Lonchura striata: one gene and its partners. The protein of the gene in region 2 purifies or fractionates together with the protein of the main gene of each other region. This does not show direct contact. Links are inferred from orthologs where the notes say so. Each region holds a gene or a part of one and is shown on either strand. Other genes may lie near its edges. The genes, in order: SCFD2, STX18 and NBAS.

Region 1 (3,748 bases), about 14 Mb from region 2:
CAAACAAACCCTTTCCCTGTTCCCACCCCAAACCAACACTCTTCTCATAATTTCATTTTAAGGTTTCTTATCCAAGTCCACTCTCCTGCAGTCTTCTGAGCAATCTTCCAAATCTCAGCATAGCATTAACTACCTGGATTCATAGCTGCTCTTTAGCACCTTGTTGATAGCTATGAACCCTACAGCAGTTCAAGAGTACACAATGGCAAAATTATGGGAGGAAAAGAAATACGGAGGACAATTCAGAAACAGACAAGCTGCGGGGTGCAACTTTGTGCCAAGTACTTGCTACATGTCATGTGGTGGCAAAAAATTATGACCTGAATTATTGACTACAAACAAAACCAGGCCCACATCCTGTGCATGCCAGCAGGAGGTATGTATGACTGGGATAGCAAATGCAGACACTCCTATATCAATATGCACTGAAACACTTTCAGGCACATAGATATGGCTAAGGGTTACACAGAGACATATGTATGTCTGCCTAGACAGACATAAAGATAAGAGTGACAAATAGGTTCACTGGATACTTCATAGCAATCCATAAGGCTGAGTCTGAAATATGCAGACCGTTTCCTTCACACCTCAAGGTGGTACACAGGCACAGTTAAGGCTTCTAGTTTGCAGCAAATTTTAAGATTTCCAGCAGAGCCTTCGGCCTTACTCTTCATTTCTATAATCCACTGGGATACAAGGGTGTGTAAGCAACCATCACGGCCATGGGATGAAACATGCTCCCAGTATTGCCAGATGAAGAACTGTTTGCATACCTGGTGGCTAGATACAATTACTCTTCAAACCATTAGCCTGTGGAATGGAACCAAACACTGCTTATTCTGTAAGATCATGTTAAACACAAACCAAGAACAGGAGAGTAATCAGCTCAGTTATGTCAACTTTTCTCCTAACTTGGAAACCAGCACCAGTTCATTGGGTGGTTAAGTATGACTTTGGGGTCACTGACCCCCAGGGACCACCACTTAACCAAACCATTTAATCTATTTCTGCATGAAAGGATGCACCTGGCACTAGGGGTATGGCACAGAGTTTGGGGTCATGGAAGCAGCCTGTAAAATACTTTTCCAAACAACTGGGTAAGAAGAGTAATGGATGATCTAGATGCTTGAGAGCAATGGCTTTTAAATCCAGGAAGCATGAAACTGACAGCAGGACAAAAGCTTATCATAGACATATCCCCCACGGTAATAGCTGTTTTGGAACAGAAAGGAGAACATTCGGCATCACCAGCAGAATGCTGCAACACCGAGTTTTCCTACTGAAGCAGGATGATGTGGAACTTACAGGAACTACTGCTTTGAACCCAGCCACGTTTCTCCAAGCTTCACGAGAAGCCCAGAGTTCTACCATCACTGCCTGGTAACCACTGAACAAGCGTATTTTAGCAGACCACATCTCAAGAGCAATCCCACCAACGACCCAAAATTAGAGCTATATCCACATGGGAGGACACGGTACAAAGTGGAATATGGATTTTTGGTAACACCACGTCACCAGGGTTCCTACTATCTGCCACCCTCCCGGTGGGGCAGTTATGGGCCCTGTAGAATGACAGCACGTAGCAGGTGAGGATTTCTTACCGGCGAGGTCCAACGTCCTGTCCACGAAGATGACAGAGGCCTTGTTGGTGGCTGTCCTCCTCCTGTTTCTGGCTGAGGCATAGCTTGCTAGCTCAGCGGCGACGACCCTGCTGAGGCCCCCCACAGCGAAGCTCTCCTCCCGCAGGCCCAGGGCGGTGAAGAGAGAGTCGAGCTCACCCACCAGGGCCCGCACCGCCGCCCGCAGCTCGGCGGGCAGCGCACCCAGTCCAACCTCTGCGGGGCCGGGGCCGCCGGGGCCGGGCAGCGGCGGGAGGAGCGCTGCCAGGGCGGGCAGCAGGCAGAGCTCCGCCGAGACGGGCGCCAGGAGCGGCGGGCCGCGCAGCACCACCTCGGCGCGGCCGCCCTCGCCCATCCACCGCCGCAAGGTCTCCTCCAGCTCCGCCGCCGCGCCGCCGTCCGCCTCGTCGCCGCACACCAGGGAGCAGTGCCGCACGGCGCCCCGCTCCAGCACGCCGCGCACCGCGGCCGCCGCGCCGCCCCGCAGCGTCCCGCTCACCACGAACACGACGCGGGCCGCCCCCGCCGGCACCGCCGCCTCGGCGGACAACGCGCTGACAGCCAACGCCCCGGCCGCCAGCAGCTCGCCCGCCCCGCCGGCCCAGTGCAGCGCCTCGGCGGAGGGCGCGTCCATGAGGACGGCGGCGCGGCGCGCCCGGGCCAGCGCGGGCTCCCAGGCCCGGCGGCTGAGCTGCCGCAGCGCCTCCGGCGCCGCCATGGCGCTGACAGCCACAACACGCCGCACGTGCCGGCGCGCCCCGGCGCCGCGCGATGACGTGCCGGGCGCGGGCTGGCCGCGCGCGCGGGGCGGGGCGCTGGCGGGGGCCGGGCCGCTCCCGCGGGAACGGCCGCTGCCACGGCGCTCTGCGTGTCCGGACCCCAGAGGCGGGAGGGACCTTCATCGCTGCCCCTGCCCTGCTCTTGGGTACTCACTGTGCTAGGGTTAGCAAGTGCTTTGGTGAATGACCTGGCGACACGGAGTACTCTCGCTCAGTAAATGCGACTTTTCGCTGTACAGTTAGAGACGTATGACAAATTATTTTAATTCCATGTCCCCCTTTAAAAGCCTATCATCTCGAAATCGGTTTCAAAACTAACTAGAAAAAAAATGCCATAACAAGCATCTACAGTTTCTTCTCCCCAGAAAATGGATGGCCCGCCTGCAAATCTGTGCTCTACATAGAATTCAGCTGGGCAGCCTCCTTGGTGCACAGCCAGGAAGGCACCTTTTCTGAGACAGCAGGATTATCAGCATTAATAAAGAGATAAAATACTTAGTTACTTCACCTTCCATCTTAACTGCTGTTCTTAGGTCTCTTACAGATTCAATTATCTTACAGATTCAAATGGTTTCAGGACACTGAAAAACATGAGGAACACTGAATTCACTAGATTTCCAGTAATTAAATCAGATCCTTTCCTTTCAGTGTTCTCTACTGATATTGCTACTCAGATGCATTCTTCCCTTTCTTTGTGCTTTCTTTCTAGCACCAATCTGTTATTTTAACTATAGGGCATATAGCTTCATGATGCTAGATAAATATGTAAGTTAATAGTCTTCTTGACGATTTTGATTTGAGAAATGAACACTAAGGATGGGGGCTAGTTAACTACTATTGTGTGAAGTGGCAAAGTAAACATAACAGGAATGAAAATTCAGACACCGATGTCTATGAAGAGGTACTACATATACACATTTGTCTTATGAGAAATAAGTGACTCAGTGGTGAAAAATGCCTTTGCTGACTCCACAATTATTTGTGCAAAAATGAAATAGCAAGATGAAAACCTACCCAGTTACATCACATAATTCATTACCTGTTCCACAATACTCAGACATTTAATTTTGCGGGGGTGAAAAATAAATTTGAGTGGGTTGGTTGTTCTTGTGAACTCCAGTGAAATGTCATGCCATATATGAAACATTCAAATAAGCTTCTCTCTGTAGGCAATTAAAATAAAATCCCCTCACTGTGAGTTGTGTTTATGTTACAGTCCTCTAGTCTGATTTTTCCCAAACTGACCTGCTGTGAAAAAGCAGACCCCTGTTTTAGTTTTCACATACATCCTGAAACACCACAAGCTCCATTTGTACACACATCTGGTCGAAACTTATTTGGACAGTTGTT
Region 2 (3,748 bases):
AGGATTTTGAAATTGCTTTCTTTGGAGGCTGTGTCAGGGAATGAATGTGCTTCTGGTCAGTGAAAGGACAGTTAAAAACTACATGGTGTCTGCTGGATCCCAGAGCATTGGGTGGCACATATGTATGCCTAAGCACATTTATATAAACACTGCTACTAGCTATTTGGTCAAAAGCTTTCCCCTCTGTGCCACACAGTCTCATGCAGCTAGGCCACTGCATAGAACGTGATAACAAAGTTGCCTCGATAACAAAGGTTATTTCACAAAATTCATTCTGGAATCAGATTACAAACACTGTGATACATTTTGCAGGTACTGATGTGACACTGTCCCAGCGCAGGATGGCAGCAGACTGGAGGACCTGGGCAGTCAGCTTTCTGTTCTGCAGAGGAAACCATAGCTGTACACTCCAGGTGTAAGGAGGTTGCTCTGCCTACACATGGAATTGTGGTCATAGGACATCCACAGCATCACAGAAACACAGAATATTCTGTGCTGGAAGGCACCCCCATCAGGTCCAACTCCTGGTCCCACACAGGACACCCCCAGAGTCACACCGTGTGCCTGGGAGCTGTGCCCAAACTCTTCAGCTCTGTCAGGCTTCGTGCTGCGGCTGCTTCCCTGGGGAGCGGTGCCAGTATCCATCTCTGGGGAAAGAACATTTTCTAATATCCCACCTAAACCTCCCCGACACAGCTTCAGGCCATTGCCTCGGATCTTGTCCCTGTCACCACGGAGATCAGTGTCTGATCCCACGGATGGCATTGCCTAGGGGAGTATCACACCCCTACTCACACGCTACCTCTGGTAGCGCCTACTCAGCTCGCAGCGCAGATGTGGTTCATCTATCAACTCTAATTAACCCGCCTTGCACCAGCACTGCTTGGCTACACCTGGCAGGACGCTCTAGAGGGCCGTTACGCCGAACATGCTCCAATTTCCGTGCAGCGTTTAGGCAGCACTGGGTATACCTGCAGGCTGTGCCGGACACGGCTGCCGCTCCGTGCCGTGCCGTGCCGTGCCGTGCCGTGCCGCGCAGGCCGCAGTCAGCCGGGCGGCCCCGGCCTGGCGCGGCCTCGCCGCCCCTCCCCGCAGCCGGAACGCGCCGCGCGGGGCCGCGTTGCGCGGGGAAGGGCGCGCGGCGGCACCGGCGGCCGCCATGGCGGTGGACATCACCCTGCTCTTCAAGGCCAGCGTGAAGACCGTGAAGACCCGCAACAAGGCGCTGGGGGTGGCGGCGGCGGCGGGGGACAGCGCCAGGGACGAGCTGCTCAAGCGGGGCACCGCCCGCTCCAAAAGCGACTTCACCGGCAGGGCGCGGGAGGTGGTGAGTGCGGCCGCGGGGGGAGGGCGAGGGCAGCCGGGGCGGCTGCAGCGGCTCCTCCCGGGCGGGCAGCCCGGCCCTCGCCGCCGCCTCGGAGCGTCCGGCGCTCCCCGGGGAGAGCGGGCGGGCCCCGGAGCCGGCCGCAGAGAGCCGCGGGGCAGCGCTTTCCCACGCGGCTGTGGCCTGGGAGAGCCGGGGCGGCCGGGGCCGGCTCCGAGCCCGCCTGTCGCCCGCGTTCCCCGCGGCGCGGCTTCTCCCGGGGCCCTCCTGCCGGGGCTGCGGCCGCGTCCGTGCGGATCCGCCGCCCTCCGGCCGTGCCTGCGTGCGCACGGCTGTTTCCTGCCGCCGCCGCCACGTAACACAGCGCTGCCATGGCACACGCGTCCGGCCGCGTCCGGCGCTGCTCCCTGCGCGCTGCTCCCTGCGCGCTGCCTTCGGCTCGGTTGTTTGCGCTGTCACACGGTGTGGCAGCGAAGGGCCAGCCCTAGGCACATTGCATGTACAAAGGTCATCGGAACGTTTTAAGGTTTGCAAAGACAAGCACTGAATAGTTAAGGAATTTCAGAGGTGAAAGCTGATGGGCATTAACAGCGCTCCTCAGGCCATAGTCGTTCTGTAAAAACAATTTTGTTGGATATTGTGTTTCTCCATTCTGAGTCAAAGGCAGGGTTTGAATAATATATCTTTGATAAAGCACTGGACTGTATTTTGAAAAACTAAGGAACTCTGAGAAGACAGACTTACAGACTGGATTTGCAAGTTTGGGACTAAATGAGAAATGGACAAGTGGTTTATAGCAGCAGAGGAAGCACAAGGAAATCTGAGGTTTTTCGGTTCCATTATAGATACTCTTATAGCCACAGATTTATTTGTTCCCTCTGAACAAGCCTTTTGCCCCATTGCCTCTAGTATTATCTCTGTCTGCATTTTGATTCCTCCTTCTCAGTTTCTGTGTCTGTATTTCAAATTATTTAGAGTCTCAGACTAGGTTCATGCCAACTTCTTCCTTCCTTCTAGTCTTTGCTCCCCATTACCTTTCTGCTACCAGGGCTTCTTTGCTTTTGCCTATTCCCAAGTTTGGTTTTGATTTTTAAAGTTCTATTCATACTCAAGCCTACCCTCATCTCCGTCTTTCTCCTTGCCCTGCTGTGCTCCTGTGCAGTGATAGCATGCTATAGCTGTCTTTTTTTTTCTGCCCTGGTTCTTTGGCTTACCACTGTTTACAGCCGCTGTTTCATGATGATCCCAGTGTTTTCTCTGAGCTCCTCACCGTTTCTGAGTTTCCTTAGTGCAGACAACAGAAGGAAGGATGAAGGCGTGGAGAAAAATGTCATGTTTAATTTGTAAGAGCATCAGGTGAAGTAAACAGCTAGTGCCAAGGGGGATGAGCTGAACTGTCTGAGGGGGACAATGGTTTTAATTAATGGTACTTACATAAACAAGGACTTTGGAGGAGAAGCAAAGCTGCAATGTGTTGCTGTGTGAACACGTGGCTGTTGACAGCTGGTCAGTGAGAAGGAGCAAGGTGGACTGGCCTTGCTCTGTAACTCCTCTGCGACAGTGAGCCAACAGCCCACCAGACCACAGAACATCATTTTGATGTGTGAATAGAACACTGAAACTGCAGCCAGAAGAATTAAGATTTATAGTAAAATAAATGATGATTTTACCTGTTTGTTTCAGCCAAATACAGTTCAGTTTGATCATCTTATGTGTCAAACCCTCTAATAGTAAAGACCCTGAATAAGCTACATTTAGCCACCACTTTCTTTATGCCTTACTTGGTTGCAGAATAGAATATTTCAATTGGAAAGGACCTACAGCCATCATCTGCTCCAACTACCTGACCCCTTCAGGGCTGAGCAAAAGGTAAAACAAGTTATTAAGGGGATTGTCCAAATGCCCTTTGAACACTGACAGGCTTGGGGCACCAGCCACCTCTCTGGGAAGCCTCTTCTGGTGTTTAACCACCTGCTCATTACAAAATGCTTCCTAATGTCTAGTCTAAGCCTCCCCTGGCACAGCTTTGAACCATTCTCAGTCATCCTGTCCGTGGATACCAGAGGGAAAAGATTGGCACTTCCTTCTTCATGTCTTCTCCTCAGGAAAATGTAGAGCAATGCGATTGCTCTTCAGCCTACTTTTCTCCAAACTAGAGAAGCCCTAAGTCCTTAGTGCAAGTTCTCCATCTGACATGCAAATATGGAAGTAGTGAAATAATAGAGTCTACACTACTCTAGAAAGAAGTACTCCTTTCAACATTATATTCTGCATGGTTTTGCATAGCATCTTGCAGGTAGAGCTGTGCTGATGCTGCTTGTGCTCCAAGCTCCAGGAGTAGCAGCCAACTGTTCACAGCTGCAACACAGTTGGAGTGTGGGACTGGGCAGGCACTCAGCTGTAGGATCAGAGATCTCTCTAGCC
Region 3 (3,748 bases), on a different chromosome or scaffold from region 2:
CACTCTCTTCTTTGGTGTAGTCAATTCCTTGAGTGTTTCCTCCACAAATAACTACTATAACTCTCCCTGGCCCTCCTTCCACCAAAAAATTCTTACCGGAAAGCTCAGTACAGGTGAATGATAATACCAACAAGAAGTAATATTAAAAATTTTAGGCATTCAGCCCAAGAGATCCATGCCAGTTTCATCAATGTCTTGAATTTAACATGATTTTACATCTTCATCACCAAGGCTCATCTTCCAATAATTAGAGCTTTAAGACCTAGTGCTCTGCAATTAAAAATTAATCATCCCAAATGAGAGAACAGAAAAAATAAAGTCAATAAAGACCTGTAAAAGTTTAAGGTCTGGCTTTGTAGCCTAAATTACTGCATAGGAAGACAACTAATTTCATTTCCCAGTGCAGCATTCAACTTCCTTTCCATTTCTACCATTCTTTACCTCACTTATTCCAAAAGATTCAGTTCTACAAGAAAGTAGGGTATAATTTTTTTCTGAAGAGTGTGAAAAAAATAGGACTAAAAGAGACAGATGCTCCAAAGGGAATGTCACCTAAGGACACTTAGGTGTCATTTAGGACAATCACCTAAGTAGTATCACTGTTAAGGCATCTTAAGACAAAAAGTGACTCATACTGACAAAATAATCTGTTTGCCTATGTTGTCAGTGTAAAATCAATTTCCCACTAAAATGGCAAAAAGACTATCAGAAGTGTCCTTGAGTACTGACAGATTCCAAAAAGAATGTAAATCCAAGCAAATTATACAGCATAGGATTTTCAAACCAACTTCTGCTATTGAAAACAGGTATTATCTTAAAAATAAATAGGCAAGAAATATCAAGTTTAAAACAACCACCACCATCTGCTTAAGCTAACAAGCAGAATTCAATGATGCTTAGAAATTCTGACTACCAGGGCAGATAAGGACCCTCAGACTGTGGTTACACAGTCACTTTAAATTGGCATCCCCACCATGGAGAGGTGTCATCTCACTAACCTATTATTCACAGCCCCCTCCAGTACACTACAGGGGTACTAGAGAGACTACTAACAAGAGGAGATGAAACAACATTGTTGTTTCTCAGAGTTATCAGTTCTTTAATCAACTTACCACACAACCTCAAGAACACTATGGCAGCAGAAAACGCATTTGTCAGAAATGTGCCCCCTTAACACGGCTGTAAAAGAACCACAGTTTTGTGTCATACCTAAGTTCTCCTCATGGTTTGCAACAGGAGAATTGTTTCCATATGCTACTAAAAACAAAGACTATTTACCATTTCTCAAAACACAGTTGAATTAAAATAAGTGCAACTATCAATTCATCTATACAAATACCCTATTAAGCTAATAAATAGTAATACTGCAATCGTGTTTTCCAAACACCCATAAGTGTTGCTGCAACTGAGGATTTACAGATCAAGAGCAACAACACCAAAAAAATCTTTCTGACAAATGAAAACTTTTTTTTTTTTTTGTTGGAATCTGTGGTATTGATGATTCAGTTTTGAGCATGGCTCTAGTAATTTTTAACAGATAAGTCTTCCCCTTGTGATGTTTTTACATCTTTTCTGTTCAGCTGTTCTCATTAAGCATAAAACTTTGCTAAAATGCTTCTATTACAAACCTTCAGTGGGAAATGCATTAAAAACTTCAGTAGACTTAAAAGCCACTACAAGAAAGGAATAAAACCACACTGCTCGCATCATCTATATCCAAGTCAATCCAAGTGCAGACAAAAGGCAGCAAGCTCAGCACATTGCAGAGGAAAACATGAAAAAGGTAAGATGAAACAGCTTCTCAGCCTTTCTGGTGATCCGGGTAGAAGAACAGCTAGAAATAACTAAAAACCTGCAGTACAAGAACAGTGTAAACTAGCACTTAAGAAATCAGAAATAGATATTTGTGTGCATTGTGGACAGAAAATCAAATATTTTTCTCTTTTATCCCTGCAAATACAGACACAACTGTACTGATACAGGAGTCCAGAGAGAGGATCTAATTTTCCTCATACAAGGTAAACCCAACGAAGGTCCTATTTTCACCAGCACAGACTCCACAGCTCTCTGTACGGCTGATTCTAGAGACGACACCTGGACTTCATTCACCAGAGTTTCGCTTGTGTCAGCTCAACAGCAAAGCCCGACACACATTGTTCAATAAGCAAGCAACACTTCAAGGCACCCCAGGCAGCACAAGCCACGGTGGGAATTAAGCGACACGAAGGCACACGGGGACAGTGGCCGCACGGACACGCCGCGTGCCCGCCAGGCCCAGCGCGGCCATCCCGCCGAGCCTCCCGAGGCACCGGCGCGGCCCCGCGGCCCCCGGGCGCCGCCGCGTCCTCGCCCGCGCCAACGTGGCCGGTCCCCTCCCCCGCCCGCGGCCGTGCCGCGGCCACACGCACCTGCACCTCCGTCTCCGGAGGCCACTCGGCGTTCACCAGCAGGTCGTACAGGATGTTCTCCTCCCCGTCCTCCGCCTGCTCGCCGGCCATGCCGCGCTCCCGGGGGCTCCCGCCGCGGTCCCTGCCGGCGGCGGCCATGCCGGACCGCCCCGCCCTGCCCGCGCCGCCGCGGCGACGGCAACCGGCGGCGGCCAAACCGCTCCGCCTTTCACTCGCGCGGCGCCGGCCCGCGGCGGGCGGGACCTCGGGGTGTGGATGGAGCCCTGACCGAAGAGGGGCAAAAAACGGGGAAAAGGGAAAACGTGGATTTCTCGCAAGTGGTTCTTAATGGTGCCACGGAGGACTTCTAAATACTTCAGTCCTACCAGTTAGAGTTCCTAGCGTTCAGCTCTCTCAAGCAGATAAAATTAGCTGATTTGTAAGTTCTGGGTCCCTCCCGGCAGGAAGGACACCGAGGGCTGGAGTGTTGAGGCGCGGCATGCGCTCCTCGCCGCGGCACTCCGAGCCGTGCTGGGCGGTGAGGGAAGAGAACGGGCGGCCGCTTTCCCCCGCAAGCTCTGCAGTTTCAGTTCGTGGCGCGCAGGGACAGACGAAGGCGACACGGGACTTGGGGGGGAACGAGATGGTTTTATTCCATGAGCCCCAAGACCCCGGCGGGCGGGGGGGCAAAGGTTTTATACAGAACTCAGGAGGACGGGTGTAGGAACAGTAACCAATGAGGGAATAGCAGGGGAGGAGTTTAGGGCAGAACTAACATCTGGAAGCTGAGGAGGGGGCTAGAATGAATGACAGGGAAGGTTCTAGGGAAAGGGGCAGGGAAAGGGGGGTTGGGGGGGGAAACAGATATTAAACAAATATCAAATGAAAGAAAAACACACCACCGCATCTCCCTCTTTTACTTTACAAAAAGAAGGAGAATTTTGTGGTTTAAGCAAATTAATAAAACATGCAAATAATATAAAATCATATGATAACATTGTAAATTACTTAAAGGACATGAAAGACACATTATTGCATTTATAGGGCAGGAAGAGTAGTAACAGCTTAAATTAGACACAAGACTGCACAAAACTTGCTGTTTTGCTGTTCTGAGTAACAATTTAAAATAATGTAAATAATGTAAATAATTGAAATAGAATGAAATAATTGACAGAAATTAAATTAAAAAATTTAATTAGAATGATTAAAATTATAACTATCTAATTTGAATAAAATAATTAAATGGAATTATTGGAATTAAATATAATAAAAGATCAACTAAATATAACTAATAAATTTTTAAATTTCGCAGCAATGCAGCAAGCCTGAAGCGATATAGTAGCTGAGTGATTCCTGTAGCA

The links.
Region 1: the proteins of STX18 (region 2) and SCFD2 purify together in Homo sapiens (co-immunoprecipitation; 3 studies listed by BioGRID and IntAct, counting the BioPlex papers as one, with this or other methods). This does not show direct contact. The link is inferred for Lonchura striata from reciprocal best matches to the Homo sapiens genes STX18 and SCFD2.
Region 3: the proteins of STX18 (region 2) and NBAS purify together in Homo sapiens (co-immunoprecipitation; 5 studies listed by BioGRID and IntAct, counting the BioPlex papers as one, with this or other methods). This does not show direct contact. The link is inferred for Lonchura striata from reciprocal best matches to the Homo sapiens genes STX18 and NBAS.

Annotation. Positions count from the first base shown.
Region 1 is NC_134606.1:26,634,507-26,638,254, forward strand, and holds the start of SCFD2 (sec1 family domain-containing protein 2), read right to left. Parts: upstream 2,341-3,748; 5' UTR 2,338-2,340; coding exon 1,602-2,337; intron 1-1,601. UniProt on the Homo sapiens protein: May be involved in protein transport.
Region 2 is NC_134606.1:13,114,904-13,118,651, forward strand, and holds the start of STX18 (syntaxin-18), read left to right. Parts: upstream 1-1,109; 5' UTR 1,110-1,159; coding exon 1,160-1,327; intron 1,328-3,748. UniProt on the Homo sapiens protein: Syntaxin that may be involved in targeting and fusion of Golgi-derived retrograde transport vesicles with the ER.
Region 3 is NC_134605.1:101,624,568-101,628,315, forward strand, and holds the start of NBAS (NBAS subunit of NRZ tethering complex), read right to left. Parts: upstream 2,583-3,748; 5' UTR 2,547-2,582; coding exon 2,409-2,546; intron 1-2,408. UniProt on the Homo sapiens protein: Involved in Golgi-to-endoplasmic reticulum (ER) retrograde transport; the function is proposed to depend on its association in the NRZ complex which is believed to play a role in SNARE assembly at the ER. Required for normal embryonic development.